Mytilus edulis: one gene and its partner. The protein of the gene in region 1 purifies or fractionates together with the protein of each later gene. This does not show direct contact. Links are inferred from orthologs where the notes say so. Each region holds a gene or a part of one and is shown on either strand. Other genes may lie near its edges.

What was found.
Region 2: the proteins of AP-4 complex subunit mu-1-like (region 1) and AP-4 complex accessory subunit Tepsin-like purify together in Homo sapiens (co-immunoprecipitation; 3 studies listed by BioGRID and IntAct, with this or other methods). This does not show direct contact. The link is inferred for Mytilus edulis from reciprocal best matches to the Homo sapiens genes AP4M1 and TEPSIN.

Annotation. Positions count from the first base shown.
Region 1 is NC_092346.1:61,084,225-61,100,997, forward strand, and holds the start of AP-4 complex subunit mu-1-like, read left to right. Parts: upstream 1-9,309; 5' UTR 9,310-9,374; coding exon 9,375-9,435; intron 9,436-16,773. Other genes in the region: RAC serine/threonine-protein kinase-like, read right to left, coding at 781-903, 2,460-2,517. UniProt on the Homo sapiens protein: Component of the adaptor protein complex 4 (AP-4). Adaptor protein complexes are vesicle coat components involved both in vesicle formation and cargo selection. They control the vesicular transport of proteins in different trafficking pathways.
Region 2 is NC_092352.1:20,598,914-20,616,247, forward strand, and holds the start of AP-4 complex accessory subunit Tepsin-like, read left to right. Parts: upstream 1-8,316; 5' UTR 8,317-8,369; intron 8,370-8,420; exon of another isoform or gene 8,421-8,481; intron 8,482-13,314; 5' UTR 13,315-13,397; coding exon 13,398-13,424; intron 13,425-14,116; coding exon 14,117-14,189; intron 14,190-14,838; coding exon 14,839-14,930; intron 14,931-15,348; coding exon 15,349-15,442; intron 15,443-15,898; coding exon 15,899-15,966; intron 15,967-16,572; coding exon 16,573-16,663; intron 16,664-17,334. Other genes in the region: cholecystokinin receptor type A-like, read right to left, coding at 3,440-4,474. UniProt on the Homo sapiens protein: Associates with the adapter-like complex 4 (AP-4) and may therefore play a role in vesicular trafficking of proteins at the trans-Golgi network.

The DNA of each region.
Region 1 (16,773 bases):
CCTAAATGGGGCATAAAAAGTGCTGATTTACTCTAAAACGTATAATCTTTGTTGAAAATTTTGATATGAACCATTTGTGTACCAATTCTAATTTTAGGATTTTTAGAGCACACATAATCTTCTACTTAATTAGAAGTATATTTTTTTCTTTCCAATACTATTTTTGTATTCATACTGTTTAAGTATCTTAAACATCTTGTTTTTATTTTGTAGATTGTTTTGTTGCTGAACATGTGCAGGATTCTTCCAAGCAATTCCTTAAGTGTTAATATGTGCTTTTATATTTGAGTTTAAACTTGCAATTAACAAGAATGTGTCCAAAGTACACCGATGCCTCACTCACACTATCATTTTTTATGTTCAGTGGACCGTAAAATTGGGGTAAAACTCTAATTTGGCATGAAAATTAGAAAGATCATATCATATGGAACATGTGTACTTAGTTTCAAGTTGATTGGACTTCAATTTCATCAAAAACTACCTTGATCAAATATTGGTCATTGAGTGGAACGAATGAATGGTTGACGAGCGAACGGACGAACGAACTTATCAACAGACCAGAAAACATAATGCCCCTCTACTATTGTAGGTGGGGCATGAAAATAAAAGTTTGAGATGGTCATTGTGTTTATGTTTCATTGTAATTAGTAAAAAAAGTGAACCTAATCGCATGTGCTAAGTTATGTTCACATGGTTTCAAACTAGCTGCAGCATTTTAGCACATAAATGTTATCTGTTTGTTTATACAAAGTGAAGTTAAACATATCTTCTACTTTTTACCTCTAACAGTAAAATCATTAAGTGGGTCATTAAATCCTTGTTCTGGCTTTGCCCTGAAGCCTAGAAAGGAACCATCTTTTCTTAAAATAAAATATCTTTTTCTCCAATTTTTTATATGTTCTCCTAAAATAGAAAAAAAACAACACTTTAGTCATTGCATGTAAAAATGTATAATACATGTAGTAAAATAATATATTTTAAGAATTTAATCAAGATTTTCTTTTTCACTAAATCATTCTAGATAGAAATATAAGTATTAAAAAAACTATTTTAACTCTTCCACTTGCATATGACAGTTGGGAACTTTGTAAGATATTGTGGTTGTCTATCTTTTTTGTAGCATATATCTTTGGGAATTTGGCATTGATTTCAGATGCAGATTTATATCAGTTGAAATTGTTCATAAATTAACTAATTCAAATTCTTGTCTTCATGTTTGGGTGCTGTTAATCATATTGTGACCACTACACTTTGGTGAATTTTTAAAGTTGAGTCGCTTCATCTCTGAGGTTTAACCTACATAGTCTTTACTCCAAAATAGAATATACACTTCTGGACTCCATTGGATAAAGTAAGGTAACTGTCAAATGTATTGATAGGCAATGAATCTAATTTGGTAAAAACACATTACAAACCAATTTAAAACTAATCTAGTTAATTTTTTTAACATTTATTCTATTTTCTGTCAATATGTACGTACAGTAGACGTTAATAGGGAAATAGCAAACGGAAACCTAATCACAACTTCTATTGTTTATTTCAGATATATAAGATCCCACTCATATCAAAAGGAAGCATATCAAGTGACAAAATCACACATTTCAAATTTTTGGGTTATATCATTATATTGAGAATATTTGTTTATCGAACATTGTCAGAGTCATCAAGTATATATACAACACAGATTTTTCTTCAGGTATTAGACCCTGTTTCAACTGTTCAATAAATACAAATCTTCTACATGTATTTCATGGACACCTATGGCAATTGTGAACTTGTATTCTCCTTGCATGTATCATTGTGACACAATGAGTATTAATAATTTGGTGTTGATCCTTTTGAAAACCTGATGTATATTTTTCTACTAAATAAAAAATAAATTTCAGAGTGATCGTCTAAACTCACATACATGTACATTCACTTATAAAAATATTAGTCATCGATATATTGTACTTGGGTGTGATGTACATTTGTTTTGTAAATGTACTTTAGTATTAAGGTTATTTTTTTTATAATGGAGAACATTAACAACTTGCTGAACAAAATAAAATAAAGGAAAACTCCAGCAGGAATTATGCCACATTAGAATATATAAGTGGCTATAGTAACATCTGAGGTTGATGTGCTACAAACTATCAATATTTAGCTACATACATGTACTATCATACACTATGTCACCCATTGACTGTAATGGACATGATTGTTTGGTCATATGTGTTTTATTACACTTTCTATAAATCGTTGTAATCTAAAAGCATCCATCATACCCATGACAATGATGACTGATAATAATTACACAAATAGCTGTTGAAATTATTGACCATTGGTGAGAAACTTACATTGCTACCTGTAAACTACGTGCTATTTAACAAGAACATATACATGTAGTCAATAATAGGGACATGTAATCAATTTCCAAATGGTAAAATTTCACAGGAAATCTGAATAAACAAGCTTACCTCTTTTCATTAAATATCCTTCCTTCACCACAGGAATGCTACTTCCAGACGGGTTCATTGTCCTGTCTGCCCGTCAGTCTGAAAAACATCACAACCTTGTACTTTAATATCAATCAATAATCAATCAGGAACACTAATGTAGAACCTAAATATATTATCCTTGAAATTATCCTTCTGATAAATTTGTCATACTTGTATAAATAAACAACTACTTGTTAAACAACTGCCCTTCCGACCTTCACACATTGATAAACAACATCAAGTATTTTTCTCAATATGTATCGTAAAAGGGAAGTCAATTTAACTTCAGACAGTATTCATTAATTTGTTTATAGTATGAAAACCACAACTGCACCATTAAAATTTCCTTATAAAGAAACATGGAAGAAAATAATGCCAAAATTAATGTACATTTAGATAACTATCTAATTATGCCTCTTAATTGTTTAATGTTTTTTTCAAATTTATAGGAACATGCAATTAAAAACAAATATTTTTATTATTATGATAGAATATTATTCCATTTATACATTGTATACATTTAATTCAAAGGAAAATACAAAAATTTTGTCATAATAGTTTTCTACATACATATAATTACATTAGATGTATGTTTCATTATAATATTTTATTCTGATTGGCTAACTGCACATCACGTGTTATTCCGTAAGCAGTTGCATTGCTCAATACAACTTTTCACTCATGATAACACATGCTCCAACAATAAAGTGAACAGATGAATTAAATAATAAAATATATAAAATTCGTGTTTTCATGATCAAAGCTAAAAAATGTAATTATAAGTTTTGAATGCTTCTTTTTGTAACTTTATAGGGTTGTAAAAGCGTTGACCGTGACACTTCATACAAAATGTACTTCGGTCAACGCTTTTACACCCCAATAAATTTACAAAAAGAAGCATTCAAAACTTAGTACATTTGTGTGATATATATGTGAATTCTAACAAATAAACATAAAATTTCAAATATTTTTAAAACATCAATATAAATGTCTTGAACATTTCCTTTACAATGCACTCAAAACATGAATTTCTTAGATGTTGAAATTTAAAACACTGTTTACAGGTGTTCTACATTCATTTTCATGTGAAACAATTGATCAGAAATTTTCTTTTAACAAATAAATGTAAAAAAGTTTGTATTTATTGAACCTCATGTATGAAGTAACCTACTACATTTTGTATGTGTACTATGTCTTAAAAGTGGAACAAAAAAAGGACATACAAACATTAAAATAAAATGCTTCGTTGAGCGAAGCCTTATACCACTGCAGACACCGAACCCTGAACAGTTAAGGCAAATTTGGATACAATATATACCTAAGCTTGATACTGTCTGAATTTGAATAGTGATCAAATTTATGACATAATATAGGTTTGAGTGTGTGGCCAGATAGAATTGTCATTGACTTAGTGTGTTAATTAGGATGACCGGTCACTTCAAATGAAAACCTGTAGGCAATTAACAATAGAACAATTACTCCCCGTCTTATTTACGTGTGGGAGTCTTTTTTATAACTATTTAACATGCATTTGACATGCAATTTAAATGAGGAGTCATTTTATAAGAAACAGAAGACATTGGCAAAATCAAATAGAAACATGTAATAACTTGACAGAAAATCTATGACTACATGTACTTGTACATAAACTTGGCATTTATTACAAGAAACTGCTAGTGTGCACGTGGTGAGCCCTGTAGCTGGTGATGGAACTTTAAATTAATCAATATTTCTCTCTTTTTTTTTACAATCATTCACTACATTGTCAATACATGTAATTGATCAATCAATCCTTTTCCTCTTTCAATCTTGTTCTTATAGCTAGATAAAATACATTTAAGCATTTAAGCTTTCATTTAATAAATTTTGTATAATTATACATTGTATAACCATTAATGTACTGCAAAATTATTCCATTATTTTTGTTTAAAATCCAATAAAAATTTTTAAAAAAACTTTGAGAGGAAACTCAAATACCCTACACCCTCAAATTGTCAAAGATGCATAACTCCTACAAAAGTTACCTAATGAAAATATATTGTGGATATGCACATTTACATTATGTTTCCTTATTACATTGTAACTACAAAGCTTCATGAAATTCTGTCTGATCTTTCTAGCACTTGTCCCTTAAGCATGTACATGTATGAGTGTTTTGTACAATGTAGGTGAAAGTGATCTGGTGGTAGTTTGTACACTGCACTTCTGTGGGTGAAAGTCCATGCTCTAGGGCTCACACTACTTCAGAATCATTGGGAGAAGTGAATTCTCTTTTTGAAACTGATAGGGAGAAGTGGTGAGATTTGAAAGAAAAGGCTCCTTCGTGGGCTGTTCTTCAATGTTTTGATTTTACTATAGAATAAAGGGTCAAATGTAAATAATGTTCTTTTTAAATTGTCCAACTCATATCTAAGTATACAATTAAATTAACAGTTCAAATACAAAGTTGTTTAAGTTAAGGTTCTTATGAGAAACCACCAACTAAATAATTAGCACTAAAAAGACAGTCAGGGGTACTACTTGTACAGGTAATTTTTATTTACTTGAAGAAGTAAACAAAAAATATACGTCTTATATAAGTAAATTATAATGTTTGAATAATCTCCCCTTAATTTTCTCAAATTTTCTTGTAAATGACCAGTGTTCTGAAGATAACAGACAAATGGGATTTTCATTGTCCATGAAATTACACTTAAATGATTTGTAAAGACAATTGCAATGGGCAAACAAATTTAAATTCTATTAGAGCAAAGAAATCCTAAGAATTTAAGAAATGAAGATAAGATGACTTTTTCACTTATATAAGTAAAAAAATCTGAATGTCTAAGGGACATAACTAAGTCAAGTTTGTTCTACCTATACAAGTAAATAAAATTCACTTGTATAAGTATCCTACAAACTTACATATATAAGTATATTTTTTTTACTTCTTCAAGTAAATTAAAATTACTTGTACAAGCTAGTAATTACGTAGTACCCCTGACTGAAAGATTTTTTATTTAATTAAGTCAAAAAGGTTAAGAAATTATAGTACCTTATATGAATTATAATTTAATTAAAAACTGTCTTGTTTATCATGTTTATGAAATTCAGTGTTTCTCACCAAAAGATATAGAAAGTTAAGCTGGGCCATCTAAATATATTGATATTAGTATAATAGTCTCAGAGTTAAGCAACTTTAATCAATATTTTGAAATAATCAATATAAATTATATCCATATAGTAAAATTATGTTTGTTTGACAAGCTATTTGCAAAGGAATATGATGTTTTTAATGCAATAAATCGACTAAACATTTACTGAAGGCAACTTTCATTACTTTCAAATGAAGTAATAAACTTATTTTACCGCCGAAAGTTAGATTGATGTACACACTCATTACCAAGTACCTGAAGTGCATGCAGTGATAAAAAGTTGGTCTTTTTATTAAATATAAACCTGCTACACACTGTAAAGTCAATGCTTAAACCTCTTTTCTTTAGAAAATAAATAGTTTCTGTCTGAATTTCATTAATTATTAATAAAAAAATTGATGTTTTATCAACTTGGTTAAAATTGAAAATGTCTGATGATGAAAGCGACTGAATGCGAGTATCGTAAACAATGGGGTGACTTGTTATCCCTTTTGATGGTCGGGCAAAGCGAAGTGACGGATGGGAAAGCGACTTCTGCATCCTAGTCGTCTGGTAGCCCTGCATGCCCCAGGTTTTTTCCCATTCAGCAAATTTTTAGAGATCTTCTATATATAGCTAGTAGTATTTTAGTATATATATATACTGTTCTGTATACTATACAATCATCTGCAAATAGTCATGTGTTGGATGTTATGTTGTCAGGTAAGTCATTGATAAATAGGAGGAATAATAATGAACCAAGTGCAGTCGCTTGGGGGACTCCACTAACCACAAGAACTTTCTCCAAGGATTCTCCCTCAACAATGACTTGTTGAGTACATTAAGCTAGGAAAGATTGAATCCACCTGTGTGTTCTTCCTGTAATTTGTAAGGAAGGCATTTACGTGAGACACCATCAAAGGCCTACAAGGATAACCATCTCAATCTGCTCTCCTTAGGACCTATAAAGTAAATCTCACCAGTCTTTACAATTCTGACCCAGTCTAATTTACTCTATCTATAATGGTTTTTTGAGATAAAAGACAAACCTTGAACTTTACCCCCAACGTTCCATTGTTAGCAATGTCAGCCATGATGGCATTAACCTGTATAATGTCCTGCATTAATTGGTTGTGATTCCCCCTTAAGTAACATTTCAAGTTATTTGTCTAAGAACAATCGAAATTTTAAAGGTGGACTTTTTATTGAGTTTCTTAATCATGTTTGAAAAGTTATGAATAGGTACAAATGCAGTTTTGTTTTTATTTTCCTTTAGTATAATTACCACTTTAACTATTTGGTTGGTGGAGATGTCAGATTAGTCATTATGTTGTAATCTAGAAAAGCTTAAAAGAATAGCTGATGTAGTTTAGATTGCTTCTACAAAGAATGACCAGCTGTCTGATTATTATTCCTGACCAAGTACTTACATACATTGTAGTATACTTTTGGACCTCAATGTGGACCAATTTCAAAAAAGGTCCTAAAATCGAACTACATTTACACATTAAGATTCATTCTACTGAATTCGAAGAATCTGATTATTTTAGCTGTTTAATTTCGAACAATTGTTTACAAGATACATGTAATATGTACATGTATACTTGAAAATTTGGCAGAAACTGTCAGACATTCAAAGCCAATCACTACTGTAAGGAATTGATTCAGTAAATATTGATACTGGATATAAAAGACAGATGCAAAAATTTCTCAGTCAAACAATCTTTATTTAACAATTTGTGTGAACCAGAAGCCAACATTGGTCTGTAAGTCTTCATTATAAATACATGTATAAATGTATACCAAAATTTAGACAGCTCCAGAACTGCCTGAACAACAAAAAAAACACTGACTGTTCATGAAAAATTTGGTACAATAAATTATATATGTACAAAAACAAAGCTACAGATCAGGAGGCATTATAAAAACGTTTGGTTTATATGATGTATAATTTTCATATTTAATAATACTGTCTACAATGGATCATAATTCGGTGAAAAAGCAGTACACCAAAAACATACATATTTATGTGGTATACATGTACATTTTACATGTATATACTTTAATCCAAAACATTTTTTTTCACGAGATAGAAATGTATTCACGTAGGAGACTAGAGAGCATGTACAGGAACATGGATTTAAGTATATATTTCTAAAACTACATGAACTGCTGAAAATTTTCCTGATGATTAAAAGAATGTTCCTTTAAAAAGTTTTTTGGTTCATTGGTTATCCTTCTTTTTCATAATGACTCAAAATTTTTTTCAATACATAAAAGAGGGTAATTCCTTTTAACAAGTATATATAGTTATTATAAAATTTACACAAGTCATTTTGTGTCCTTTCATAGCTTTCTGTTCAGTATGACCCATTGAAGGCTCCATGTTGAAGGCCATACTTTGACCTATAATGGTTTACGCTGAACAGTTTATAGGGAGGGCACACATGCAGATGTAGTGTGCAACTTGCTAGGGGGGTTTGGGGACACCCCCCCCCCCCCCAAGAACTTTTTAAAAAAAATTAGGAGGAAAATCCTGCATTTTGAAAAAGAATAACTGCATGAACTGCAAACAAGACTCAAGAGATTTGTAAACAAAAAACCATGATAGGACATCAAAAAAATCTTGCTACAATGTCTTTCTACAATTCGGAATTTTAGAGCAGAAAATTTGGAAAAAAGAGCATATTTTTCTTCTGAAATGGGGCCAAAATTCGCACAAAGATTGATTAATTGTTGGTTGCTTAACGTCCAGTGACAAATATATCATGCATGATCAGGACAAGAACAAAGTTAACAATAAATACAATAAGTAGGTCATGTAAAAGAGGCCATTCAGGTTCAAGGTTAGGAAGAAAATTGACTGCCATTGGAAAATGAGGGTTTAATGGATATATATAAGGTCTCCTCTAGATCGATAGACACAGAAATTTAGCCTTGCAACAGGCCACCAACGGACCCCTCAAAGAGTTGTTGCAAGGGTTCTTAACATGTAGTAAGTGTGGCACAGCCACTCTCTTCACACTTGGCATCAGATTTAACATCCCCATTCTGACCAGACATGGCTACAAACTTGTACATCATGCACAGCTTGTACATCACGCTAACCCAAAGAGATGTCCCACTTTGGCAAGAGTTCTACTACTGGCCATGGTCGGAAGAAGACAATTGATCATACTTCTATTCCCCAGTCACTCTTGGGGGGTTGGAAAATCCATGCCCAATTTAATATAAAAAAAAAGCATGACAGGCAGAATGTTTACTCTGATTATCACTATGTTTCTGAACAAGTAGAATTTTCTATGATTATTTATTATGATATACGAGTAGCAAGTTCCTCCTGCAAAGATAAATTTCTGCTGGACTGATTTGTTTTTTTAAGATATTTAGGTTGTGAGTATAAATAAGGACTGAATTCTTAATACGCAAAAATGCATTGCGTTGTCATCTTCTTCACAGAACCATCACATCAGACCTGTCAACATGTCACTGAGCAATTTTAACACCCCTCCCCCTTTTTTCTTGAAGTTATTTCTGGAGATCAACAAGTGCCTGAAGATGACTTCACTTTGTGTCAGTTGAAGGGGTCCCTGAATCTGTACAAAATTGTAAAATATTTTCGTGGATATGAATTAACAAATGTTCAGTATTACCTTTCAAGAAAATGCAAAGAGTTCCAGCATTTCACATCAGTAATGTTGTCTCGTTTCTTCTCGCTTGACACGGGAATTAAAGATATGCCCGGATGACAGGTGTCTGCTAGCCATTTGTAGGATTCATAATGCATTTCAGTGAAATATTCATTGTTTCAGGCACGGAATCTGTTCTGATATATAAATCCTGTATCCTAAATTTGCTATTCAATAATTGCATAAAAGAACAGGGGTCAGATTGAAGTACAAAACTGATCAAATTGAGATTTCCATAAATCTTCTTCTAAGCTTCTCTGTATCTCCTTCCTGTAAGGAACACCAAGTAAAAAATAAATGCATTTATGATTTATGTACATCACAAAAAGCTTTTGAGCTGCATGTCTCTGGAAATGATCCGAAAATTAAAAAATAATAAAGTTTGTAGATATAGACAATAGACAATATTTTATTCGCACAAACACATTTACATTAAATGGTTATGGCATACAAAATTAAGACAATAAACTGACAATAGTTAAGGTTTATGTACCCTTCTGTAGCCATTTTTGTACGAATTTTTCAAACCTCAATTGTATCAAAACTAAAGATATAATAAATAATAGAGATAGGGCATTTAGTACATGTTCCAAGGGGAAACTTGATGCAAAGCATTATTTTTTACTGTTTCATTGCATTTGATAGAAAAAGAGGACTTTGTGGCAAATAAATCAAGATTTTTATAGAAAATCCACATCCTTTAATACAGAAATTTTTGTTATAAAATTTGAAACATAAATTACTCACTTGATTTTCTATGATGTGCTAGTGTTTATTTTTTACAAAAAGTTCTAAGTAACCTGTAAATTCCAAAACACCTCGTGCTGAGTCACTAAAGTCGACCGCACCCTAAAAGGTGTACTTGATTTTGGCCATATTTATACTTGTCTTAACCAATAACTACATTTATAAACTTGTTTTAAGGAAATCAATGCTAGCACTGCATGCAATAATCCTATATCTATCAGTCATCAAATTGCCAAATATGAGAGTACAAGGATAAAGGCTGTGGATTTTCTATAAAAATCTTGATTTATTTGCCACAATGTCCTCTGTTTCTATTAAATGCAATGGAACAGTAAAAAAAAATGCTTTGCATCAAGTTTCCCCTTGGAATATGTACAAAATGGCCTATCTCTATTATTCATAATATCTGTAGTTTTGATACAATTGAAGTTTGAAAAGTTCGAACAAAAATGGCTACAGAAGGGTACATAAACCTTAAATTGATTATAATTATATAAGAGTGACAGTGGTATTCACAGCGAAGAAGAAAAAGGCTATAAATATCAACAGTTAACACATTGTTAATGTTCATGAACAATTAAAAAAAGAACACAAACAAAAATATATATTAGACTACAGGAATTAAAATTACTGTCAGATACATATATATAGGTAAAAAAAAATGTGGCTCTGTCAAAGATTTATATAGCATGGTCAGATTAATATCTTTTTGTACGTCATATGCATGCTTGTTCAATGGAAATTGTGACGTCACAATGCATTCTTGATAGTACGAAATAACCCATGAGTCAAGGATAAGTCTTACTTAGTCTGTTTCCCGGCCGTTATTGAAATTATTGTATATTCCGAAGGCATACTGAATGTTTTACGGAGGGGACCAACCTAAGTCTTACTATACAAATACAAATCCTACTCAAATAATTGTTACGTCTTGAAATTAAGGCGTCAAAGCATAAAATTATAATAATGCGGAGTCCTTCAAGACGTCATAATTATTAGGACTATACAAATCGTTGCTCTGTCTCAGTGTGATTCATTTTAAAGGCAAGCCTCACATCATAAAAACAGACATATCAAAATATACCAAATTAAACAAGACAGACAAAAAAGGCAACAGTGAACGATTCATGGGGCCTGGCCCTGCCCTTCCTCTTTTTGCACCAAAGTAAGTCATCAGGTTCAAAAAGTGTCTATTTTGATGTTTTTTGTCCTATTTCTTCTTCTTCTTCCGTTAAGGAGTTGACCTCATATTTGAGTGATTTACTAACTCGGCTCGGTAAAACAGGAGACCTCTCCATTGATTAAAAGTAAATATTAACAAATAATTAACAGGGGCGGATGCAGGAATTTTCGAAAGGGGGGGTGCAAAACATATGTCCCGATACAAATGCATTGATCGGCAAAAATAAAGGGGAACCCCCCCCCCCCCCTGGATCCGCCACTGATTAAAACTATATACACTGTACAATTTGGCAGGCTGATGTCTAGTTAGGCTGCATCTGGGTCCAGGGCACACTGGCTAATCTGGCCCTGAACTCCGTGAGTGTTGGTGCAGCTGCTACTGTGTCTGGCAGAAGGTTCCAGTCTCTTATAGAGCGTGGGAAGAAGGAGTTGTTGTATACTTCCTTAGTAGCTCTTATCTGTCTAAGTCTGTGGCCACCCCTTGTTCTGTTGTCCCCAGATGTGTAGTAGATAGCTGGTTGTATCTCCACTAGTTGGTTCTGTATCTTGTAGCATAGGACGAGTCGCTGTTTAATTCGTCTATACTGTAGTGGATCCCACTGGAGTTGGTCTAATAGTCCAGTGACGCATCCTGGGGAGGTGTCTGTGTACTGGTTGTAAACAAATCGTGCTGCTTTACGCTGTACTCGGTCGATGTCTTTGATCAAGGTGGTTTGATGGGGGTCCCACACTGTGGCAGCGTACTCCATCGATGGTCTGATGAGTGCACAATAGGCTGTGTTTTTTACAGATGGTTTGCATCGGCCCAGGTTTCTGCGGAGAAAACCGAGGGTCCTGGTTGCTTTTCCTGTGGTGTTATTAATGTGCTTATTCCACTGTCTTGACTAATGGTAACTCCAAGGTACTTTCCGCTATCAACAACTTCTAGTTGGTGTCCATGCAAGGTGTATGTTGTTTGCAGGGTGTTGCGCTTGTTAGATATCCTCATGACTGTGCACTTTTCTGGATGGAAACACATCTGCCACTTGTGTTCCCACTCTTCCAGAGCAGTGAGGTCTCTCTGTAGAGTTGCAGCATCATCAGGATTTCCAATTTTCCTGTACACCAGGCTATCGTCCGCAAACAACCTTACATCTGAAGATGTACAATCTGGCATGTCATTGATATATGTCAGGAATAGTAGAGGACCTAAGACTGTCCCTTGTGGAACTCCTGATATTACATCTAAAGGAGTTGATGTATGTCCTTCTAGCACAACTGACTGGGTTCTACTGCTTAGAAAGTCCTTTATCCAGTTCAATGTTGATCCTTTCACCCCGTAGTATGCCAGTTTCAAAAGCAAGCGTTCGTGTGGTACCTTGTCAAAGGCTTTTGAAAAATCCAGTAAGATGATGTCAGTCTGGTGCCCCTGGTCCATGTTTTTGGCAATCTGGTTTAGTGTTACAACTAACTGGATCTCACATGAGCGTCGACTTCTGAATCCATGTTGCTCGTCGCATAGAATGTTGTGTCGATCAAAGTGATCCATTACTGTGCTATGAATAATATGCTCTAGTAGTTTGCATGCTATGGATGTCAATGACACAGGCCTGTAATTTGAAGGTTGGTGTTTCTCTCCTTTCTTGAAGATTGGCACGATGTTTGCCTTGCGCCATTCGTCTGGTATCTTACCCTCGTCCAGGGAAAGCTGGAACATCCGGGTAAGATAAGGAGCTAGTGATTCAGCTGCCTGTTTGAGAATGTTTGCTGGAACTTCATCAGGGCCTGTTGCTTTGAATGGTCGGAGTCCCTTTAAGAGTTTGTAGACACCTCTTTCATGGATGACGATATTGTCCATGGTTGGATGTGGACTTGTGCCTAGGTCAGGTAACGTACCGGTATCTTCTTTGGTGTACACTGACTGGAATTGCTGATTCAGTATAGATGCCTTAGTATCTGTGTCACTATGTAGTAGGAAGCCATCTTTTGACTTCAAGGTCACAATCTGGGATGCATCTTGTTTCCGGCTCTTTACATATGACCAGAATCTTTTAGGGTTTTTCTCCAAGTCGTTGCTTACTATATCTTCCATGTAGTTACTCTGTGCTTGTCTAGCCTCCTTCTGTAGTTGTGCTTTCAGAAATTTGTATTTCTTTTTGTCTCGTGTTTTCCCACTGCTTTTGGCAAGGGTATAAGCCCTCTGCTTTTTGTTACTGAGTCGTCTAAGCTCTGAGTTCATCCATGGATGGGAATGTTTTGTTAAAGTGTTCCTGGTTGGTACATGTTGGTTGATGGTATCTAAAATCAAGCCTTTTATGTTGGTCCAAAGGCTGTTAACATCCTCAAAATCTGTGTTTTTAAAGATGTTGTATTTTTCTTTGAGTTGCTGATTAATCATGGCAATGTTAGCTTTTTTCCATAGATATATTTTTCTCTTTTGCTGATTGGGTTTTTGTAAGCCGTGTGAAAAGTCTAGAAGAACTATATCATGGTCACTGTTCCCAAGAGGTGTTATGGTTTTACATCTATTGAGTTGGCCTGGATGGGATGTAAACAGCACATCTAAGGTGTTATCTCCCCTGGTTGGTTTGTCTACCAACTGTTGTATGTTTAGGTTGGCTACCATTTCGAGAAATGCATTGTTAATATCTCTTGATGTTTGAGTACCCTGTATTGTGTAGTTTTTCCAGTCAATGTCTGGTAAGTTGAAATCTCCACCAAGGATGAAAATACTACTTTTGTGGTTTTTGCGTAGATCAGTGATGTCTTGTATTGCGTTGTTTGCAGTTTGTTGATCAATCCTATTTGGTGGTCTATATAAGCAGGTTATTATGGCTTTCTTTTTCTGGTTTATGTTGATGCTCCCAGATATGAGTTCTGTGTCTTTCCCTGAATTAAGATGGCTAAGTCCAAGTGTTGTCTTTGCTGCTATGAGGACTCCTCCATGGGCGTCTGTTTTCCTGTCCCTGCATATGACATCGTAACCAAGTTCTGGTGGAGCTGGACCTGGAGTGAAACTCATCTGGGTACAGCAGTCTAAAGTAAGGTAATTTGGACCAAACATCTACAATATTTGAACCTGCAACTGGAAGTAGTTGTTCCTAGGAATATTTCTATAATAAACACGATCAGTAGTTATACCAACCTACCAACCAACATGGTTCAGGTTGACGAGTAAAAAAAAACATAGCCCTATGGTAAATGATTTTGGCTAATATTTCTGAAACACTGTGGCATTTAGAGCAAATATGACTGGTGATAATATGTACATCCGGTTAAGAGCTTCTAGCCTTGAAACTTTAAGACAAATCAGACAACCCATAGTTGGGTTGCTGCCCCTGAATTGGTAATTTTTCAGGATTTTTTTTCAGTTTTTGGTTAAGTTTTTAATATTATTAAAGAAAGAGAAACTATAAACAAGTAATAGTGTTTAGCATAGTAAGATCTACAAGTAAGGCAATATGACCATGATGACCAACATGGTTAACCCTTTCCTCTATAATGACGCCTTTTGGGTTCACAATAAGTGACAAAAAAATTCAAATGTCTAACTGGTCTATTTAAGGTACAGTTATTATTTCATTTAAAAGTAAGCATATTTTATGTGAATCAAGTCACTTGACCTCTCAAGGAGTTATTGCCCTGTATAGTCAATTTAAAAAAAAAATGTTTCTTTTACAAAAATCTTTTCCTCTGAAACTACTGAGACAAAAAATTGAATTTAACCAAACTTGGCCACAATCATCATAAGGGTCTATAGTTTAGAAAATGTGTCTGATGCCCTGCTTACCAAGCAACATGGCTAAAAAAAAGGGCATAGGGGTTAAATGCAAGTTTTTAGCTCACCTGACCTGAAAGGTCAAGTGAGCTTTTCTCATCACTTGGCGTCCGTCGTCTGTCGTCCCGCGCCCTGCATCCGTCGTCTATCGTCCGTGAACTTTTACAAAAATCTTCTCCTCTGAAACTACTGGGCCAAATTTAATTAAACCTGGCCACAATCATCCTTGGGGTATCTAGTTTAAAAAATGTGTCCGCTGACCTGGCAATCCAACCAAAATGGCTGCCATGGCTAAAAATAGAACACTGGGGTAAAATGTATATTTTGGCTTATATCTTTGAAACCAAAGCATTTAGAGCAAATCTGACAGGGGGTAAAATTGTTGATCAGGTCAAGATCTATCTGCCCTGAAATTTTCAGAAGAATCCGACAACCTGTTGATGGGTTGCTGCCCCTGAATTGGTTATTTTAAGGAAATTTTGCAGTTTTTGGTTATTATCTTGAATACTATTATAGATAGAGATAAACTGTAAACAGCAATAATGTTCAGCAAAATAAGACCTACAAATAAGTGAACATGACTAAAATTGTCAGTCAACCCCTTAAGGAGTTATTGCCCTTTATAGTCAATTTTTAACAACTTTTCGTCATTTTTTTTAACTTGTACAAAAATCTTCTCCTCTGAAACTACTTGGCCAAATTTAACCAAACTTTGCCACAATTATCATTGTGGTATATAGTTAAAAAAATGTGTCCGATGACCCCGCCTACCAAACAAAATGGCTGACATGGCTAAAATTAGAACATAGTGGTAAAATGCAGTTTTTGCTTTATATCTTTGAAACTAAGACATTTATGGCAAATCTTTCAATATTTAAATGTCCATCAGAATAAGATCTATCCCCTCACAAATTTTCAGATGAATCCGACAACCTGTTGTTGAGTTGCTGCCCTAAAATTGGTAATTTTAAGAAAATTTGCAGTTTTTGGTTATTATCTTGAATACTATTATAGATAAAGATAAACTGTAAACAGCAATAATGTTCAGCAAAATAAAATCTACAAATAAGTCAACATGACCAAAATTGTCAGAGGACCCCTTAAGGAGTTATTGCCCTTTATAGTCAATATTGAACAACTTTTATTCATTTTTGTAACTTGTACAAAAATCTTCTTTTCTAAAACTACTTGGCCAAATTTAACCAAACTTGGCCACAATCATTACTAGGGTATCTATTTAAAAAAATGTGTCTAATGGCCCCGCCTACCAACCAAGATGGTTGACATCAGTAAATACAGTATAAGGTGAGCAACACAGGCTCTTGAGAGCCTCTAGTTTTTATTATATTTTGAACTGTTATATATAGGGAAAATCTGAAAGGAGAACAAATATATAAATTATGAGCTCAACCATGTCCATACATGTCAAAACTGTAAGACTAATTACATGTATATAAAGGAATTATTGCCCAATTTTTTTCAATTTTGCCTATTATTTTAAAACTATGATATTAAGAGAGAAACATTTTTTTTCCTTTATGGATTACCGTATTTATTCTATTTAAAGCCCCCCTTCTAATTAACGCCCCCCTACCGAAAATCGTGCGTTCAGAACTTTTGACTTCTAATAAACGCCCCCATTTTGTATTAAAGAAAATAAAATTGAAACTGACACATTACAATATTGCAAAGACATCGCACCGATCACTCAGAAACATGAAACGAAAAATCAATAATGCCCATGTTTTAATCCACTCCCATAATACAACACAGTGTGTACAAGTTCCAAAAATAGATCTGTCAGT
Region 2 (17,334 bases), on another chromosome or scaffold:
AAATAATTAACAATTTTTTTGAAAAATCACGTTTTTGCCTTAAATGTAAATGAATTTGTTTGACAAGGAAAAAAGCACTCGGTAAAAATTAAACAAATTGGGATATTATTAACCTTGGTACAGTGTACCCAATTTCAATATAATATATATATATATGAAAAATGCATTGCCTTGTATCGTTTCTTTTGTATACTAGTATATATTGTACAGCCGTTGATCAGCGACGCCTAATCAAAACTTGATGTCTTTGCTTGTATATTGTTTTGATACCAACAAGAACAGCCCTTCAAAGGGACGGTCTTTCGTTACCGATTGTGATTTTTTTTTCTTTTTAAGACGGTAATGTTCCTTGTGCCCTTCTTACAGGGTGTTATATTCCACATTTTTTTCGTTATGTCTATGCCTGCAGTCGAGTTTTAGGTTTCAATGACTGCAGTTTATGGATCAATGGAAAATTCATGGCCATGATTTCTTTACCATAAATTTTTTATCAAAAACGTTAATACCGAATTGTTTCAAATATACAAAAATGTAATCAGGAAATTTGGCAGTACCTGTTGAAAACTTTTAAAACGAGTAAGCACATCCTAATCTTTTACGGTAATAGTTGCCGTTTATAGAGCCCGTAAATATAGAGACGAACTATGTTGCCTCATTGATCATTTGAATAAACTTATTATTGAAGGTTATCAATTTAACACTTATTAAAAAATTGTTCTATCGGTACTTACACTGAATTTGTTTTGAAAAAATTAATCCGGTCAAACATAGATCGCTATCTATACCAGTATATATTGAAATATTCATTAGATATTACCATTTTGATATTTTTGATTAGGACAAGAAAAGTATATTGATGTTACATCAAAAAGATATTTTATTATACATCAAACCTATTCTTTACATAGATGTAAATCAAAATGTTTTATAAATATTTCTTTTACACATCTAAAAAATATATATATTAAATGTTATATAAAAATGTCCATCAGATATTGATTGAATATTGCAAAGAAATATCTCCTCGGCATACAATTGTTCTCATTTATAAAACTGTCTATTTAACGTTTTAAAAACATCAGCAAAAAATATTTATTATTCATTATAAAAAAATATTTACAAAAATGTGTTTATATTAGCAATCAAACATTGGGACGAAATATCATTGATAAAATATCATTAATGCATAATTTCTGATGTAAAAAAAATGTCTTTAAAATGTTTTTTGGTAATATTTTTGAAAAACATATATATAACCAGTCAATAATATCATGAAAATATTATGTGTTAGCTGGGTAGGTAGTGGTGATAACTCATAATCCTACATCATATCGGTGACTGTTTACTCATATTTTAACACTACATAAGACAGCCATGCGTTTCTCCCTACTGTTTAGGCAGCAACCATTTGATTTTCTGGGGGGGGGGGGCTATGTTTTTTTTTCTGTGCAATCTAACAATCTATTTTTTTAGCGACAAACCGAAAACAATTTTTTTCTTTCAATTTTAGCATTACATATAGTGGCAGCTGAGGGTGAAACAAACAATTTTTCTTTCTCAGGGTCCAAAACAAATTATTTTTTCCACCAAAACCTGGAAACAAACTTTTTTTTCCAAAACCACTCCCCCCCCCCCCCCCAGGAAATTAAATGGTTGCTGCCTTATGACGTCTTTATGTTCATCAGTGATCCGTGTCTATTTGTTGTTTTTTTTGCCCTGGATATTTTGCTTCGTAACAATCAGTGAATCTTTTGAGTTAACACCAATTGCAACAGATGTTAACACTTTGTTCTTCACTTGTTTTTTTCAACTCCGCCACTTTGTTATTGTCCTGTTCCAAGTCAGTAGCCTGCAGTTCGGGAGTTTTTATGGGTTCCTATCTGTCATTTTTTTAATAAATTGTTTTGTAATAAACTAGTATAATGCATACTTTACGGTATGGGGTTTGTTGAAGGCCGTACGTTGACCTGTAATTGCTTATATACACCTGTTTGAACTCTGATGACTCGTTATCTCACAGGCAATTAAACCACATCTCCTTATTTTTATTTTCAACTGTCACCAACACCGATGTTCATTGAAATACTTACAACAAAATACAAAATAATGGTAACTTGTTTGATATTTAAATTATATTTTGTAGAAATGTGACCATGATCATTAGCTGTCATGGTCAGTTCACGCACCCCATCAGTTCGCCAGTTATTGTCTTTGTCCATCCTTCACTTTTAGACACAATGGATATCTTATCGATTATATACGTTGACATATAAGCATCTGCAGATATACCAAAAAAACAGTATGTGATCCCAAGCTTTAATTTTATTATACTTTCAATAATGCAGATGGGCAGCTGATTAATTTCTAAAGCTAGTATTTATTTGGTAAGATAACTTAATTTTAGGACTCTTGTAAAACAGTTGGTTTTCTAGATCTCGTGTGAATTGTTTTACATTATAAAAAGTACCGACGCCTTTTATTTAGCTTGTTATGCCGTATGGGTTTTGTTTATTATTGTAGGCCATATGTTAACCAATTCAGTGTTTCTAACACCTATGTCATTTAGATAGTTGTCGAATTGGCGATCCTACGTGAGTACCACATCTTTTATCTTATTTTAAATCAAGGCAATAGTAGTATACTGCTGTTCTATTGGCATAAATCGAATTAACTGAAACAAATCCGGGGCACAAACAAAAACAGAGCTAGGGAAACAAATCAACTATAAGAGGAAATCAACGGAACAACAGAAACACTGAACTGCTACAAAAATAAAAGCCAACCTACATAGAAGCGGATTTTTTTATAATAACTGCCATATTCTTGACTTGGTACAGGAAATTTAAAGGAAAAATGTGGGTTAAACATAGTTTTATGGCTAGTGAAACCTCCCGCTTATATGGCAGTGTCAAAATACCGCTATTAAAATGACAACATTGCATGACAGGAATACAGTACAAATAAATGGGAGGAAATTCAGAACAGAAATATACACAAATAAACAAAATGATAGTACATTTCAACGTTTAACTACAGTATAACAACCATCACATAAAATTAATTTACGATAGTATACAAATACAGCACACAGAATTATGAACTGTGCGTCACAAAAATATATATCAACGCCACAAAAAGGGACGTAAAATTGTCGATAATATCTCCTTTCACATTGTTAATTTGTTTTCTTTAAATTAGAAAGTATTCTTTGGTAAAATGTAAAGTCCCAGTTGATCTTATTAAACTTGCTCTCTTTCCCATTCATTGCTTCTTTACTGGAAGATCAGTAAGAAGTATTTTTTTTTAATTTTTCATCGCTAATTTCTATTTTCATATTGAACAAATGAATAATTTCTCGTTACAAACTAACTGTAATAATGTTTTCTAAGCCTGAGAATACACAAATATACAAAAAAAAAAAGACGGTATGCACAAAGAATCATGAGCAACGAAAAAGACTGACAACCTCTTTGCGAAATTTCAAGTCATAATATCCGTATATCAACGGATTAACCACGTGATTTATCACATAAAATCTTTGTAAAATAAAGTAGATTATCATCTCTGTTGTAGAAATATTGTACCAAAGTTTGTGGTTTAATTTACTTATGATTAGAAAAACACAAGTTGGTGTGTAAGAAACGAGATAAAATATAATAATAGTCAAAAACATGCTGTTGAAATTGATTTTGCTTGCGTGCATAGTTTTCTTGCGAGTTATTTCGCCTGTGCTTCCATCGCTTGGTTTGGTTTCCGATATAGATTCAAATTGTGTAGAAGCAATGTCCATGCTTGGTCGTCGTAAATCCTTTAGTTTTATATGTCGATATAGCTGAAGTCCAATAGGGATATAGAGAAATGAAATAGTAAGTATGTTTGCAACCATTAAAAAGAATATAATGTAATAATAAATTGCTTCATAGTCTGGGTATTGCCCAGAGCCAGTAAAACACGTCCATCCGGTAACGTTCAAGCCATTGAATTCTCCTTCGATATATTTGTTTCCAGAAAAGAGTAAAACAGGACACGAATTAACAATAGAAAATATAACGATAACAGCCAGACATATTTTTCGTTTTGCTTCGTCCATTTGTTCTCCTAGCGGCTTACATATTTTCAAATATCTTTGAACAGCAATGGCTATAAGAAGCAATGCCGATAAACTGGAAGTGCTTGTCATTGCAAAAAGAAGACCTTTACAGAGTCCTGTGGATGGAAAATCCACAAAATATATAGATTCCAATACATAAAACACAGATGCAACTGTGCCGGATATTAGATCAAAAACTGCCAAGATCGGAATGAAATAGCGGTCGTCTCGATTTGCTTTCATTCGAAAGAAATATACCATGAGAACAATTATGTTTCCAATAAATCCAAGCAGAAAAATTACACCTTGAAGAAAAACACTCGGAAGTAGTTTGTCGTAATAATCTTGATTCCACTGTAGAGTTAGATTATAATTAGAATCCATGTTCAGAATATTCCAAAGAAAAATCCACAAAATGTTATAAAATACCACTCAGACAGAAAGGAAGGAAATGCCTCATTTCATATAAAATAATGTTGTATAAACTTGGTCATCTGACGTTGGAATTGAAATGTAGGTAGTATTTATAAGTATTGAGTATGTATAAAATGTGAATTTAAATACTTTTCGTCTAAATTGTTAAATCTTGACCATGTAGCGTAAAATTAAAGAAACCTTAGGGTGATTATAACCAGCTACTGCTGTGATTAAAGAGCATTAAATATCATTACTCGACAAAATAACATAATATTCTCATAGTCCTTTCTAGGTTAATAAGCGCAGATAGGTCATTTTGTAGTAATTTGTATTAATAGTTAAGCAGAATGAACTGGCTATCACAAATTGACCTGACATGGAAATCCCTCATAATGAAATTATTACATATATTTATGAGATTTATTAATCCTATATATTTTTCTACCCTGATTAGGTTAAATAGAGATGGTAGATTAAACAGGAAAAGTATGTCCTCTTGACATTTTGGTAAATTAAGATAACTATTGCTACTGTCTATTAGTAAACAGGAAATAATTTACAGCAATGTTAAATTGGAACCAAAGTGCATCTTTAGAAAAAGTATCGGGACAGAAACGAATCAGAACCTATGCGGTATGGGTTTTGTTCAATTTTGAAGGCAGTATGGTGACAATTCTGTCTCTGGTGAAGGAGTTGTCTTATTGTCAATTAAACCACATCTTCTTATCTTTATACTTCATTGTATTTATTGTAACCTTGGCCATCAGATGTGAAAACATGCTTAATTAAACTTTGACTCAATTCAGTCCGTCAGTAGTGGATATCAAATCTTTGGCAGATTTTTGTGTTTGCCTTGTATAGAACTTAATCATTGTTGTTATGGGTATTATAGAGGGTTCCAAGTGTTTCACCTCCATCTTCACGAATTGTCATCAACATTATTCAAACTGTGCACAGTGATTGATCGTTCCACATAGATTGAAAATGTACATACGTAATGAAGGAGCGCTCTGAAAAGTGGAACAGGCAAACTTCTAAAAAGTGACAAGGAAAAAAAAGAGAGTGAAATCCCTTCTATAGTTAAATAGTCAGTCACGTCCCTCTATCATTTTCGGACGCATGAAACTATTAAACGTCTTGTTTTCCATTTTTTACCATGCGGTACGGGCTCCGTTCAAGGTGAGTTGTCACATTGGCAATCATACCACATCTTCTTATTTTTATATATTTATGCATTTTGATTGGTTACAACTATAACAAAGAATAAATTTGTCCACGTAGGATTTTTTGGCACAGGAATATGTTCTTCCAAGAACCCCGATTCAAAACAGGCACAAACACGGTATTGTTCTTGTTTGATATTTTTTGTTCTCGCCCTGTATTTATTTCTGGGCCACTGACTGTTCAGCATACAACAATCAAAATATTATAATAAATAAATATTTAAATCAACACGTACCATTTAGAGCACTTTTTATAATTTTTTTCAGAAATATATATATACTTCAATTCTTTACTAAGTATATATTTTAATTAGAAATTAGAACAGACTTTAACTTTTTTGATGGCGCATTTATTTTAATGATCGAAATGAAAGAGTCTTTACACTTTATAGGACTGGACATCAGAATGAAATATTTTATTAATTTGTATAAGACACGGGCCTGGAGCTATTGAATACCAAGTGTGTATACATCTTTTATCAGAAATTGAATTAATTCACCATGTGATTGTCCATGCAGTAAACGTCTTCATCATTTCCCTCCAGTCATAAGTTGTTTATACTTTATATTTTTATAATACAATGTTTTTAAACCACTATAGCTGTTTGTTCAACTGTTTGTCGCTTCTTATTACTACTATATTATTGAACCTGGTTTTTAGGGGATGAGGAACAGTTTGCTGACTTGTCCTACGACATACACAAAACTAAACCTTGTGGAATTCGGGATTTAGAAGGCATTGTAATTGTGTAAGCACATCGAAAGTACATGTGCATTAGGGTAAATGTATATGTAGAATTTATACTTCTATGAATAAATTATAATCATGAAATCAAGACATAAAGGTATGAAATTCACATAAAAGGGAGTTATTTCGCTTTAAGTTGCAATATATCTTATTGAATTCTTAGACTTAAGAAAAAAACACTTTTAAAAACTTTTCCACAAAAGAGGGTCCCCTTTGCCCCTAACCCCGCCTCTGTATCTGCATCTGTATGGGTTTCGTGTGAGAACCATACGGCATGCAACAATAAAAAAAACTCATATGTTATATTCAACTATAAAAGAATGTTCAGTCTACAGCGGGTCTGATTAACTGAGTAACTGATTTAAAATGGGGTTTTCTTTATTGGTCGGTGCATGGATGCTGGATTTTGGGTTTGTTATCTTTTTTGGTTTATTTGGCTTGTTGGTTTTGAAGGTGACATCACTGGTTATTGAACCTCAAATAATCTGTAGAAAATGTTACTCTCTGTTGTTTCCGTCTGTCTTTTAGTGTTTATCATCAGATCTTTCATTTTTTTGCATCCGCATCACTTGATTGTAGTCATTGTTGATAAATATTGCTGCCTTTCTTCCTTTCTTTCTTTCTTTCTTTCTTTCTTTTTTTCTTTCTTTCTTTCTTTCTTTCTTTCTTTCTTTCTTTCTTTCTAGTTCGTCCTTCTCTTGTAAGCTCAACTTGCCAAATTGATATTTGCAAGCTTTTCCCCATCACATCTGAAACTACTGAGCAAGATTGAACAAACTTGACCACAATCATCCTTATGATATTTCTCTTTAAAAATGTGTCTAATGATTCACGACAACCTGCCAAGGTTATAAAGGGAGATAGGATATAATTGATGTATTGTCTATAAGTTATCTTGTAAACTAATATCGCTTAAGAAAATAAATCCTCGGCATACAGGACACGCATGTTCAGAATGTCAAGATCGGTATAACATTCATTTAGACCAAACTGTCAAGACAACATTTGATAAGGCATTATTGCGCTGAAATGACCATTTTCACCTTCTTTTTTATTTCGAGTTTGACTAGTATCTTCAAAACGATAACAAATAAAGGGGAAATTGTAATCAGGCATAAAAATGATATTTGCATGGCCAAAATCGTCATTTGACCCCCAGGAGAGGTTATATATTTCGCTTAAAAGCAAATTTTTAACCTTTTTTTAAATTTTAACCGAAACTTTAATTAGTAGAATTGAAAGAAACTGCAAAATTGACCAGAATTGTTAGCTGATTTTTTTAAAGGAGTTATTGTCCTTGCTTGATGATGTGTACTCATTTTTAGTATTTTTGTGCATCGCCTTTATCCATGACTGGAACTCTTGTGAATAGCTTTATCAACGGAAATCCTTTCACATCTCTCCTTATTTTTGATAAGCATTTTATCAATTTGATGCAAATTTGACAGGTGAGCTAATCAGGCTTCTTGGAGCCTCTACTTTGTATATGCTCTCATTATCCCTGATTAATCATACTACAGATAAGTATTCGGTTTTTCCCTGCATTTTATGTTACTTTGCACACCAAAACAAAACGGTGAGCCCCGGTAGTATCAGAGACTCTGGTAGTATATACTTTCAGTACACTTTTTTGAATCATCTGTATGAAAACATACTATTAAAAAGCTAACATTACACATCGGACCCTTTAAACATTTTGATTTTACTGGTTAACACAAAACTTAAAGCTTATCCGATTAAAAAAAAATTTAGGATTGAAAGTAAAAAAACGCGAAATAGGATAATAGTAGAGCTTTGCATTCTTATAAATTTGTTATGGTTTTTGAATAAACCATTAAAACAAGCGGTTGTTTGATAAAGATTTAATATGACCAAAAACCAAAAAGAAAAGGTAAATAAATATTATTTGTTGGAAATCATAATTTCAATACCCTTGGTTCTGGTCATCAGACCATTATAGGATTTTATTTGAACAAATATCAACATAAAACATTGCACCAGTAGTATAAAAATGCTTTCTCTTTTTAGTGACAGATAATACCTTTATTCTCAAATTAGAGTCTATCCCTGCTTTCCTGACCTTGAATAATTCATGAATATTCATGAACAATTCATGAATATTCATGAATAATATTCATGAATGTTCATGAATATTCAAGGTAACAGTTCATGAATATTCATGAATATTCATGAATGTTAAATGGCACCTTGAATATACATGAATATTGTTTGAACTGAATAAGCTTGAATATACATGAATATTGTATGAACTGAATAACCAAGAATTAACATGAATAATTATCTATAGAATATTCATGAATATGAAATAGGATGTCTTTGAATAATGCATGATAGAATATTCTAGAATCACCATGAATGAAAAATATATATCTATCCCAATATTGAATGCTAAATACATACTCTAGAATAACCTTGAATGTGAATATTTCATGAATATTGAATGGTTGAATGTTCTAGAATAACCATGAATATTGAATGGATGAATATTCTAGAATAACCTTGAATATTGTCATTTGAATGGTTGAATAATCTAGAATAACCATGAATATTGAATGGTTGAATATTGGAGATTAACCATGAATATTGAAATAAGTGTCCTTGAGAGGTTTTTTGAAAACCAAAAGCAAATACAGACATTTAAGTTTAAAATATTTTTAAATCATGATAGCTGTGAAATATGAATTCGTTGGAAAAATTTGGTTGATCATATAGGGAATCACTGAAGCATGACTGGAGTGCCCCCTCCTTATGAAAAGTTCTGGATCCGCCACTGTATTGATCCAATATCCACCCGTTTGTAGTACATGTATGTATCACATTTTTTTGAAATAGTAAAACACCCATGCAACCATGCATCCCGTATTGCTTGATAAGGTTGGAATTGGGATCCATACTATAAATGGGTGGCTATTGGATCTAAAATTCATGTAGATCAATAAAAGTGACTTTACAGATAAAATTATAAAAATTCATGATTTTAACACAAATTGAAACCTTAAATGTAGACTTTAATGGCCAGGTGGGTAATTCAAACATGTTAAAAGTTAATGATAAGCATACATTGTACATTTGACATGATAATGAGCTAACTTATATCAAAGATCTGTGGGGAAAAAACAAATGAGATCATTCTTATCAGAATGTCATTAAAAAAATCAATGCAAATATTAGTATATTTTGTTTTTTTTCAATATTGGTGCTTTAATTGCCATGCATTATGGATTAAACACATTAATCGTTTATCTGATCATATTCAAATATTTAAATAAATAATAATATTAACATCCTATCCATGAAAAAAATATGGCCTGCATGGTTATGATGACGGAATAAAACCTAAGAATAAAAACATTGACTATGGTCAGCTTAATAAAACCTCACTCAAAAACTGATTTAATAACTATAATATTAAAACTAATGTGTCAGATATAAACTTCTCTTCCTTTCTGTAATTTAAAACTTGCTGTCTCTATACTTCCAACTAGAATTGCTGAATACAGGTGTTAAAATGTTGTCTGCATAAAATCTGTTTCATATAATTGCTGGCAGCTCATATTTAATCCCCTAAAAGTACAAAAATATCCACAAAGAATCAATTGTTCAAGAGGTTATGAAGCAATAAATTCAATAGAAACATTATTGATTTTGCAGATGTATTGTATCTTACATTGGAAGCCTAAACGCAAATTAAGACCCCCCCCCTTTTTTATCCCTTGAAGATTATAGTTTTCACCAAGTTTGTTCACCTAATTTAATTTCTACATTATAAAGTAGAATGTGGTAGTGCATTTTTTTAAAGTTATTGACTCCACATTATTAACCTACAGTTTCTCTTTGTACATGAATGTGACAACACCACATACATTCATTAGGGAGCTACCATTTGATTTTTATGGGGGGGCTAGGATGAAATTTGAAAAAAATAGGCAGGACAGGAATTTTGAGTAAAAAAAAAGGCAGGATGAGACACTTGCAAAAAAAAAAAGTCAGGATGACAATTTAGGTAAAAAAAAGTCAGGATAAACTAAAAAAAAAAAAAGGCAGGACCGAAAAGAGTGAAAAATAAAAAGGCAGGACAGAGATTACAACTAAAAAAAAATGCAGGACACAATTTTTCATCCTAGCCCCCCCATAAAAATCAAATGGTAGCTCCCTTACATTAATTGTCTGTCAAAACTCTCTGGTGTTTTCTGAGATTTTAATCCTAAATGTATTATAATAGTGCCTAAACAAATTGCATTTTATAATTATTATAATTATTATAGGTTAAATTAAAATACTTATCTGAAAACATTTGCGTTGTGATTCTCCATTTTGTTTATCCAGCGTATTTTGATGACGTATGCCAGTCCGTTTCCGTCAATGTGTCAATCTCGCCCCATATATTATCGGCCCGAAGTTGATTCGTCCCCGTAACGGCGTTTCAGTGAAACTTCTCAAAACAGGCCGCCAGTCAGGTCACGCAATTACGGCCGATTTGCAGGGTTTGGTTAGTTGAAATTTAAAATCACGAAGAGTAACTTCCCCTTAATATGGGTGTTTTAGAAATATTTTAAAATGTATTTGTTCTAACTCAAATATACGTTTTTCTTTGTAAATTTTAGTATTGTGAATGAAATCTATCGTAAAATTCAGCTGCAACTAGTATTTCATCTTATTTTTTTAATTTTATTTTGCAGGAATAAAAAATAAAAAATACCATACTTTAATGATTTTCCCCTAATAATTAGGTGAAATGTTCTATTCAATGCTCAGCCATTGCATTTCGCGGTAAATCACTACTTTAGAATTTAGAGATCATAATGACACTAAATTGACAAGATGAACAGTACTTAAACAGTTTACAGGTGACCTGACTTACAGACGATCCAAGCTAATATTACATAGCCTTCAAAACGTTGAAATTATATGGACAGGGTACAAATGAATTGTACTGATAATAGCTGTTAGAATTTAATATGAGTACTTTTTCTACCAAAATTACTGCCCATGCATCAGTATCTTATTATTGCTTTAATTTTCAAAAACAATGTTTTAAAGTGCACAAGTGTTTGTTCACAGTTTTTCATCACTAAATGATCAAACTACTCATGAGTTTTTTGTCATGTGCACTTGGTTTTCCAAAGTATTTCATCGAGTTATATATCATATATAACTGTGGAATACATACATGTACATGTACATGTATGTTATTCAGCATCAACAATCAAGTAAAAATATACATACAAAAGTCCTAGAACAAATTTCATTATCAATTTTTATGCCGTTTGCCACAAATAATTCTGAGTCATTATCATGCAGCTTTATTCATGCTTATTCATGTTTGTCACACAATGGAAAAATATTCTAAGTCCAAAATTTATTCCTCATTATTCATTCTTATTCATGAAATGTATGCAAAAAAATTCTAAGTCCAAACATTCATTCTTATTCATGTTTATTCATATTGACAAAAAGGGTTTTATTACCACAAAAAAACAATTTTGAATGAAGGAAACTTGATTATACTATGATATAGGTAGTGACTAGCATTTTAAGAACATTTATTTGTTGTCTCCAAACAGTTATTAAGAATTCATGTATATTCCACTTAATTCATGTTTCATATTCATGAATAATTTTGACACTGGAATAGTAACCATGAATGGAAGTGGAATATTCATGAATATTCATGAATATTCTACTTTATTCATGAATACATGAATATCATGAAAGCAGGGATTTTCTGCCATAAATCAAAATCTTTTGCTTAATCAAGCTACTACTAGGTCAAATTATAACATTACTAAATATCAAAATTGCACATTCAAAGATATTTACAACAAATGTCCTACCAAAATGTGGGGTGGTCTGTTTGGGAAGGACATGAGGATAAGCTGATCATGGTCTAGTCCAAATAATTATTTGGACTAGATCATGGGGTGTTCTGATCCCGGATCCCACTTATTGTTTTGTCAGATTCCCGTATCCCACTTACACACTATGTACGTAAGCAATTCTCATTTTTTTCTAATTTCCCGCATCCTTCTAGACTTCATTTCACGTTTTCACGTCACAATAATTACTTTCACGTGTCACACTTACAAAAAATCAGCAATCCCACGTCACGCTTAGACCCCAATGAGACCCACTATGATGTCTTGGAGTTGAAAGGCAAAAAATTGAAATATAGCCTTACAAGACGTTATAATTATAATATATTGTCCCCTGAACAACACTTAATAGTTGGGGGAAATAGAAATACAGGGTGTCTGTCCACGAGGTCTTATCGCTGCCAATTTTAGTGCCTGTGGGTCTTGTTAGCGCTCTCATCAAAATTTTTGAAAGGAGTTATGCTCCTTGGAATTTTCAATAATGTGGAAATTTACCTTACAAGCACCGTAATGGATATAATTCTTGGTAGATTTTTATGAAATATATATAATCAAATATATAATGCCCTTTGAATTATTGCTGATTTTATGTAAAATTGCATTAACAGAATTTTATGAAACTTATAGGTTTATATTGATCATGCCTGCAGCAATGTCGTGGACACTTTCAAAAATAAGAGATGATCAAATGTTTTTATGAGTGTTGCCACTATTTATTGTAATGGAAATCACATTGCATTTGCTCTAAAGCCTTCATTTCTCTAAGATATTTATGAAAAGTTTAAAAAAAAAAAAAAAAAAGTAAAAAGTGCTTTATTTAATAGATATTACCCTTGTACCTTAGATAGACAAAATTTGTGGTACATACTTTTAAAATTCATGTACCAATAATAATGAAAATAATATGTATATTGATAATTTCATTAAATCTTATAATTTCAGATCTTCATATTGTTTGGAAATGGAGAAGATATGAAATATTCTACAAAACTTCAGTTCTGTAATGTGACAGTGGTGCCAATATCATGGACAAAGTTTCATTTGTTAATAAGGTACATGTACATCTTTCATTAATTTAAGTTAAAGAGGTAATATATATTGTGGTACATTTTTAAGTGCTTGACACAGATGTATCTGTGTACATGGTGTATGACATACGAAAAAAGGGTATTTTATGGCACATAAGAGAAGGTCTAGAGAAAATTTATAAGTTGCTGTACATTTGTCTCCCCTTGATTAGAGACAAAGTTGCCCGAAATTAAAACTTTTTTTTCAAAATGTCTACAATTTACAGAATTTAATCTATTTACTTAATTGAATTATTGTCATTTAAAAAAACGTATTTGTCAATAATCTCTACTCCTATAAAGTGACAGTTAACTGTATTGAAATGACATATTTGTACAAATGTTAAACTGTCTTGTCTATTCTGAGAAGTGACACCTTTGTTAAAAAATATTTGTACAGACTATAGTGAACACTTTAAAATGAATGCTATCACATGTACAAATTGTCAGGAAAAAATTACATACATTAATGCTTGATTCAACATAAACATATTTGAAAAATCATGGAACACAATCCTTTGAAAAGATTTACATTTGTATATAAATGAACCAAAAAGATGATGAAAAGTGTTCTAAAATTAAATATAAACTAAAATAATATTTTTAGAATAAATTGCTTATAAATGCTTTATACATACAATGTATATCCACACCTAATAGTTGAGTACTGCTTTCAGATAAGTGTATTGATGAAAGCTACCTCAGATGATGCCAACCCTATACAAGGTTATCTATATCAGGAAGTCAATAGTATCCTTCATATTGTGAATAAAAGTTATCCCAAAATTACTGAATGCAGATATATTTATATTTTAATGATTTAAACATATTTTGGTTTTAAAATGTTAGATTACTGACTATTAGGTAATAATATGTATGTTTATGGAATAATCTTCATCCATTAATGATTAATCTAGAAGTTTTAGCGGTAGACAAATAACAAAAAATTGCTACAATAGTTACACATCCTCAATAGGACTTATTAAAACAGAGAAGCCTAAATGGTCTATAACCATTTTGTAACTGGAACTTTCAATCTTATTTTAAGTGCAATTAAGTTATTAATATATTAAAAAATTGTATATTAAAAAATGATAATTGAAATAAACAATTTTAATCACACCAGTAACAAAGTGGTGGTTGTCAGGAATATGGCTGACTCAGGTAATACAGTTGCAGCATCAACAAAGACAGGCAAATTTATCTAATTAAGGGAACTAAATTTCTTTAAATACTTTTATTTTTTTTTACATAGAATACATAACATATCATAACATAAAATATTCCAATATTTTTGTTATAATTATGCAAAAACAAAATAACTGTTCTTGTATGTTGTTCGTTTATGTATCAATTTAACAAACAGTGTTATCATTGTTTTCTTTAACATCACAAACAGAGATTACATTTGAATCTGATGGGTACCGAGAGAGCACTCTAGAGTTTCTGGTAGACAGACTTAACAAACAATCTTGTCATGTTAAATTTAAGGTAAGATCAAGGGAAGTAGTCCAGTCTTCAATACAATTTTAGATCAAACTTAAAAATTAGTTTTGTAATTTGCGAAATTATTGCATACATTTGTTTTTGCAAATTTATGAAGAATGGACAAAAATGGAAAATTATTTATTGCTATTTCAGGAAAAGCAGTCTACAGGTATATGTACCCAATATCAGATTGTTAGCTTTTATTATTTCGGTATACTCATTCATTTTGCATTATTCACATGAATAAAAACCTCACAATGATTTCTGCATTTACAATATAAAAAAAAAATTATTCTCCATTTATATTTGGCTGTTTAACTATAATGTATCATGTACATGAAATAATTTTTGGAAAATATATACTTCCTTTTAGAGGCTTCTACAGCAAACATCCTCCGATACTTAGTTTATTTATGTTTAGGTGCTGAAATTGCTTAAGTTCATAGTAGAGAATGGACCATCAGAATTTAGACTTGGATTGATGAAGAATTCTCATGGCATCAGAGAAGCTACAAGTAAGTAAAGATCATATTGAGATTTTGATGATTTAGGGATGAAGATGCCCCATAGCAGTGACTGTTTGTCTAGCTCTCATCTGATTAAAAGTGTGATGGATACCAAAGAAACAACAGCACAAGTTCAAATGAAGAATGCTTTGTTCATTGTTGAAGGACATACAATGACCTATAGCTGTTAATTTCTGTGTCATTTGGTTTCTTGTGGAGAATTGTCTCATTGGCAATCATACCACATCTTCTTTTTTATAATTAGTGTACCAAACAATGCTTGTAATTACTTAACATGCTTAAAGCAAGCTCAAAATATTGCTGAAATGAATTATATTACTCTACACTATAATATTGGCAGCCCTACTTTATAAAATTATATATGTATCATTGGTTTATTTAGAATAATAGCAGCTAGCACAGATGCATGTGATTATTAAGAATTGTTTAATTTTTAATTTACAGAATATAGTAGTCCAGAAGATCCACTACATGGCAATGTACCCAATAAAGCTGTTAGACAGATAGCACAGGTACTACAAGATTGTTTACACATTTAACATAGTTACTGTAACATGTGTTAGACAGATTGCTCTTAAGAAGGTAGTAAAGCATTGGTTGAATAAATAGAACAAGAATGTATTATGTCCCATAGATTTAAAAGGTAAAAGTAAGAAATCTTTAAAAATTAAAAAAACACACAAACAAGACCAAAAAAGTTTATAGACAGAAATTGGCAGCAGATAATTTTCACCAAAAAGGTCTTTGTCAAGGGATGATGATCACTGAAGAGTTTCTATTGAAGATTTTGATATATTTTCATCCTGAGGAAATTATGAAAAATTAGTATCCATAAAGTTAATATATAAACATCATAGTATTTAGTTGGAGACAAACTAAGTTCATTTGGTGTTTGCAAAAAATGCAGAATGAATTCAAGATTTCAATATTTTTTGTTGCAATATAAAGAATATAAAAATATTTTTTGGGGATGTATGGGCCCACAAAAATTGCTCTCATGAAAATGAAAGAATAATTTTACAAACATAATGAATCTATTACAGGTTTATGTTGTAAAATGTTATAATTGATTTAAAGAACCCATGATTCATCACTTATGACATGCCTTCTATCTTTAGGAGTTATCACAGTTGTTATTTGACACAGAATTAAAACAAAGCCCAGGAATGCAACAAGAAAGGTCAGCACAAGACAAGTCCAGAATCACAGGTATCAAATTTAAACTAATTACAACAATTCTCTCTATTCAGTTCCTCAAGAGAAAAAAGTTATTAAAGATTAACATGAAAAATAAGTCATACAATATCTTTTGTTGTAAATGTCTTTTGTTACATGTCTTATTTTTGTTTATGTGTGACATGAAATGATTTCTCATTGATGTATACCCTATACATCTACATTATTCTTAGTTACAAATATAAAAAAGGAAAAAGATACATGTATAATTACCAATGAGACAATTCTTTTCAAGAGACCAAATGACAAAGAAATTAACAACTATAGGTCACCTTACAGCCTTCGACAATGACCAAAGCCCATACACCATAGTCGGCTGTAAAAGGCCCTGAAATGACAAGTGTAAAACAATTCTAACGAGAAAACTAGCGTCCTGGTTTATGTACAACAAAATGAAAGAAAAACAAATATGTAACACAGTTACAAACGACAACCACTGAATTACAGGCACAATAATACAGAATGTGGCTGTGTTAAACATATAAGCAGGATCCAAACCCTCCTCCTAACCTAGGACGGTGATGTAACAGTACAACATTAGAATAAACTATAACTGGATGCTCCGCAGGGCACATCTTTATACGACCGCAGAGGTAGAACCCTGAACAGTTGGGGCAAGTATGGACACAACATTTAAACTTGAT